2 linked regions of the Oryctolagus cuniculus genome follow. The protein of the gene in region 2 purifies or fractionates together with the protein of the main gene of each other region. This does not show direct contact. Links are inferred from orthologs where the notes say so. Each region holds a gene or a part of one and is shown on either strand. Other genes may lie near its edges.

Evidence for each region. The genes of interacting proteins can lie anywhere in the genome.
Region 1: the proteins of RBBP6 (region 2) and SRPK2 purify together in Homo sapiens (affinity purification with mass spectrometry; 4 studies listed by BioGRID and IntAct, with this or other methods). This does not show direct contact. The link is inferred for Oryctolagus cuniculus from reciprocal best matches to the Homo sapiens genes RBBP6 and SRPK2.

Annotation. Positions count from the first base shown.
Region 1 is NC_091434.1:139,341,649-139,344,018, reverse strand, and holds the end of SRPK2 (SRSF protein kinase 2), read right to left. Parts: intron 2,204-2,370; coding exon 2,019-2,203; 3' UTR 555-2,018; downstream 1-554. UniProt on the Homo sapiens protein: Serine/arginine-rich protein-specific kinase which specifically phosphorylates its substrates at serine residues located in regions rich in arginine/serine dipeptides, known as RS domains and is involved in the phosphorylation of SR splicing factors and the regulation of splicing.
Region 2 is NC_091450.1:14,870,746-14,874,406, forward strand, and holds part of RBBP6 (E3 ubiquitin-protein ligase RBBP6), read right to left. Parts: intron 3,455-3,661; coding exon 3,092-3,454; intron 2,800-3,091; coding exon 2,698-2,799; intron 1,843-2,697; coding exon 88-1,842; intron 1-87. UniProt on the Homo sapiens protein: E3 ubiquitin-protein ligase which promotes ubiquitination of YBX1, leading to its degradation by the proteasome.

The DNA.
Region 1 (2,370 bases), on a different chromosome or scaffold from region 2:
CTTGCAGACATAGGGAAGACATACATAGTCTGTGGTTCTTGTAAAAATGTTTCCTATGGAAATCGTGGATAGCCTCACTGGTCCACAGCTACCATGTGTCACACAATCTAAAAGGTAACCTAAAGCCTTATTAGACAAACTGTCCATGCACATTACACGGATGGGTGATACACTCTACCTCATGGTGGCATGTGCTAGAGCTAATTCCTTAGAGGATTATGTGTCTTGTTCTCTCATGGTGAATGCTGTTCTTCAAAAACGAAAGTCTGAGATGTTCAAATAGAATGCAGTTACTATGTTTTTGATGAAAGATGAGAAAGGATCACTTGAAATTCTAGGTAATGAACCTATACTGTAGCCATCTTCCCCAGAACACTTCTGCCCATAACAAAACTTCGGTTTTATTCCCTAATGATAAGCCTTAATGCATGTTCTGCACTGTATTTGCTGTGACAGCAATGTTGCTACTTCCTTTAGTTTTGATGCCACTACCCTGGTAGAAAGTCATGATGATTTTATCACTTCAAATATAGGGCAATGATCAAGGCAATGGCTGGAAAAAAAACCAAAACACTTTAATTTTTAAGACAACTGCAAGCACCTCAAACAATGGGTTATTGTTACAACACTTGTTAGCTTTTCACAATCTAGTTATTGCAAAGGCATATGGGTAAAAGTTAATGGACAAAGTCAAGAAAAACGAGGCACCTTAAGAATGTAAAATTTAAAATAAAGAGACATTCACTCCACTGACTTCTAAAAGAGGCTAAACATACCTCATATGTTACATTCTAAAATCGTATTGCCTACTATGGTTTGTGTCCTGGATTCTACAACTGATCTTGAGGAAATGCATAGACACTACTGTGTGCAACCTGCAAAGGGAAAATCATGTTCTCCACTCCGTTCATGGAAAGGCAATGAGCAACCGCGTACAGTTTGTTCTAGCCACAGAATGCGCGTGACCACTGTCACCTCCGAGCTGTGAGGAGCGTTCTGCCCACTGCACTGCAAACTCTAAACCCCATACCTCGTGTGCTAGACAAACACGACCAAGCTTTTCGAAAAAACAGAGGCTTCTTTTTTTTTTTTTTTCCATTCCACACACCAAACATGTTTCTCTTGTCCAATTTAATCTATGTATTTAACTTAACAGTGTTTGGAGGAGGCAATACCACATAGTACCCAGTCATCACATTTTTAAAGGGAAATCACCCTTTTCCTTTAAAGGTACTTTTAGAAATATGCAAAAAATACAAATGGGACTGCTAAATCATAATGCATATTTTAGAACGAGAAGCATGTCTTTTCCTTCCTTAAGGTGCCATATGGGGAGTGACACCTTGTAAACCAGAGCCACTTCGTTTCGAGTCCAACATGAACGGACTGTTAGGGAATGAAAAGTCTGCACAGCTCCTCGGAGCAGTAAAATCTGCCGCATGCGGCTCAGGCTGTAAAGCACTCGAGACTTGGAGCTGTTCTGCACTTGAGTCCTCGTCCCACACCTGGTGGGAGTTCACATTCACAGAGCGCATTCACATGCACTATCATACAGGAATGACGTCCCTCTGCCAGAATTAGGTAAAATGGTACATTTCCTTGCTATTTCTTGGTTCCAACTTGATAATGTCTTAAGATTGTAAATTATATAGTACTCAGCTAAAATATTTCTTCATAAATAGTTACAAAACCTGCCAAAACACAAAGGAGAAAGTATTTTTCGTTCAAAAAAATGACATTTGAATGTCACACAACACAAGAAACAATGCTTAGAGACATGTTATTGTTTCCAGAAGAGAGTGGTCAGTGAACTACTTAGCTGAAGACAAAAGACTACCCTTCCCCAGGACCACAGTGCACAGAAAGCAAAATGTCAAACAACAGTACCTCAAAGCAAAATAAAGGTCTGAGGATGAAGCCAGCTCACTTGCAATCCTGTTAAAGAATGAGAGTCCCCGTTTAGGTCCAATGCACTGGAAAACATGTGCTAGCACAGAATGCTGGATTTGTAGAATCTGCTAAGAATTCAACCACGGATGCCGAAGGCATTCGCCAGCAGAGGCTCGCTTCTCTGGAACCATTTCTAGCATGGGGATGAGGAAATCTGTGAACTGCGCAGCGTCTTCGTGGGGCCAGCCATACTTTTCCACAAGGACATCAAACAGGCTCCAGGGCTTCAGCTTGGTGATGTGCCGCAGCTCTCCTAGGGGGAAGAACGGCCAGTGTCAAGAGCGCTCCGATCCTGCACTTCCCACACTTGGTCCAGCCACGGGCTTTTCCGGAAGCAGACAACCTGTCTGCTGGACACTTTCTGATAACAACAAAAAAGGTGCCTCCCCGCCCCGCCCCGCTCAATCATCATTAAATGTA
Region 2 (3,661 bases):
TTAATCAACATAATAAAGCATAATCATGAACTAAAGGAAATCTTTCCCCAAAATTCCATCCCTACCCACCTACCCACAATCAAATACCTGGTATAATCCACAAGAGTTGAACTGGACCCTTCGTTTCCAGTTACTTTTCGTCTGACCTTTCCTTTGATTTTTTCCTGTTTCACTTTGCTCGACGTTGACTCCAATTTTTCAGAGGGCTCTTTTGTATTAGATGTATTTTCTGCACTTCCAATTTTTTTCCCAGTTTCTCTGTTGAGCTTGATTTTTTTGGCTGGAGCTGTTGATGAAACTTTGTCCTTTTCAGGGGTCCTGTCCATTTTTTCAATATCAGGTTCCAGTTTGCGCTTTGGTGATGGTTTCACTATTTCAGTTACTTCTAGTTTAGAGATTTTCACTGAAAAACACTCAAAATCCTTATCTACACCTTTTTCCTCTGTTTTCCTTTTTCTTTTTTCTCCCTTGCTATCAAGCAGTTTATTTTTCTCACTAGGCTTTTTGGCCTTTTCTTCCTTATTAGTTAGCTTTTCTGATTTGACATCTTTGGAATAGTCCTTCTTCACTTTTTCCTCTTTGACTGATTTTGTCTCTTGGTGTTCTTTTGCAGATTTAGAGTGAGCTTTTCTGGGTGTACCAATGACCTTTTCATCTTTCTGAGATGATGATGATGATTTCGCAACGTCAGTCTTTGGGGTCTCCTCTTTGGCTTTTTTAAGTGGAGGTTCAGGTCGAGGAGATTTTTCACGCTCTCCATCTAGTTTTTCTTGAGGTCCTTTAGAAGGCTTTACAACATTTTCTTTTTTAGATACAGCAGATCCATCGTTTTTCCGTTTGGTCTTGTCACCTTTTGCTTTCGGTTTATCTTTCTCTCTCTTTTCTTTCTCAGAAACTGACTTAAAAGTGATAGATTCTGCATCCATTGGTTCATCTCTAACAGGTGTAGCATCATCTCTACTTGGGAGAACAAACAACGAGTCCGTTTTATTTTCTTCAACACCTGTAGGTTCTCTTGATTTCCTAGAAGTCTCTAATAACTCTGGGTTCAGAAAGCCTTCACTTTCTTCCCCTTTTCTTCTTTTTCTGTGTTTCTTATGCTTATTTCCTTTACCATCCCCTGCAGCATTTTCACTCTCCTTTTCTTTCGACTTTGTATTGTCCTTCTGATTGTGACTGTCTCTTGTTGAAAGTTTTTCTGGATAGCTGCCACCTATATTTCGACTTCTATGACTTTGTCCACCAACATAATCTTCTCTGCGGCCTCTAGTGAAGGGGGAATTCCTGACATTAAGTGGTAAAAATCTCTCTGGAGAAAAGTTCTCTCTGTTTGCTGAGGGCCTAGGCTGTGCTCCAGCAGCATAACCTTTATAATATTTTTCGTACCACTCTCTGTATTTTCTCTCCCATTCTCGGTAACGGTCTTTTTCAAATGGGTCTCTAAAGTCAATATTCCTCCCATAATAAGCTTTTATGTCATAAGGTGGTGGTACTTCTCTGTACCTATTAAAATATTCACGTTCTGTCTCCCCTTGAGGTACAGCACGCTTACTGGGAGACTGTCCCCTAAATGCCTGAGGAGATCTTGATCGTGAATGATAGCGTCTGTATGGGGGTGATCTTGACCTAGATCGATGATATCCATGAGATCTAGATCGTGAACGGTAATTTCGACTCTTCCCTCTCCCTCTTCTGGGGTATGGAGGTGATCGTGAATAGGAGCGAGAATGTGAACGGCTGAATGACCGAGAATAAGAGCGTGAACGTGTTGAACCCGATCTTGATTTAGAGTAAGTATATGAACTTCTTGAATACGATGAACCACTATAGGGCGATTTAGACCTAGAAACAAAAACAAAACAACAGTTGATAGTTGAGAAATATATCAAAATAAAATACAGATTCTCAGATTCTAGTATTCTCTCCTCACGGTTTGATTTTTTTTCTTTATATCAAGTTTCATCTCAGATGATTTAAGAGGCACAGTGACCTCTATTTGGATGGAATAAAATACACAAAATCAGAGCAATCACTTGTTACAAAACAAAAGTGAAGTCTTAACAATTAGGAGTGGAGTGCATTAATGTACCGTGAGTTATATGAGCCAATTAACATTAAACAAAATGCCAATTAAATTTTACTTCCTATCTGATTATTTAATAGGAGTCCAATTTTTGTCCTACACTGGCCAATAGTCTAGCTTTACAAAAAAAAAACCACGCCTCAAGTGTAAGTTGAAAAAAATAAAAAAATTTTAAACAAACTTCCAGGGAATGTTTATAGTTCATTTTCTATCAATAAAGCAATTTGTATTGTACTACTACTTTATAATTACACAGGTTAATGTTCCAGCAAGAAGCTGTAGCCTTATGGTGAAAGGGTGCTCAGAAATGTTTTTAAAGACTATTCCCCTATTTCTTTCCTTCCATAACCATTTCCCAATTACTTCACATTATAAATAACTTCAAGGGACATGGGCAATTTAATCCCCATAACTGCTAGTTCTACCACAATAAAATTTACACTGAGACATTATTTCAATAAACAGATATTGGGAAATAAGCTACATCTCCATTTCTATAAACCTAGACCGAATCAGAAAAATTTCATAAGTGCAATGCTATTATATCCATAGCTAATCCCTGGATATTCAAGTCCCATTTGTAATTCTGTTGTGAAGGCTTGCAAAACACTAACCTGGAAAATGAGCGCCTACGCTCCTTTTGAATCTTTTTGTATTCCATCAATTCCTTAGCAAAATCATTTGTAAACTCATCTAGCTTGGACTTTTTCTTTTCCCTAGTAAAATAAAGTTAAAGAGTGAAAGTTAACAAAAACCATTTAAGAAAACTAACAAGACAAATGTAATTAGATCATGAATGAAATGAATGAAATTGCCATTAGTTTTCCACTTTAAAACTACAAATAACTAGGAATCCCTGAGGAAGTTGCTTGTATGGCTTTGGTTTAAATTTTAGGTGAATTTTCTTGTACTAACTGGAAAACACTGTAAAATGTTTCCAAACATACCTATTTAATGTTATATCAGAAAATGAAAGAAGTGTCTAGTAATTCAAATTAAAATGCTTACTCTTCTTTCAGTCGTCGCTGCTCTCTATAGAATTCTTCCCTGGACAGCGGTGGTGCTTGTGTTGTTGGGATGGTATTTGAATGAGCTGTCTGCACTCCTGATGATACCCAAGGTGTTGATAAATTGGCAGGAGCAGGAGGAAACCCTGGCGGAGGGACACTATACCCAGCAGGTGGTGGCTGGCCAGGAGGAAACTGAGGAGAGAACTGTGGAGGAGGAACACCTGGAGGGAGAGGAAGTGTATGGGGAGGAGGTGGATACAGAGGAGGTGGAGGAACAGGCACAAAGACTGGCGTTGCTGGAAGCGATGGGCCTTGGGTCCTCTGTGATCTCTCGCTGTGGTGTCGCCCTCGGTTTATACTTCTGGAGAAATAAATTCCAAAGTATTATTCCTTCCAATTCAAGTCATCTGAGACAATCAAATGTGTCTTCTACCCACAATTATTTTCAAACTTACAAATAGCAGAAGAGAATCAACCAGTATAAAATACTGATGCCATTCATTTGTAAAAGTAATTCTATAACAAAATCATGATTTTTAAGGACACTTAGGGAATGAGATAATATGTT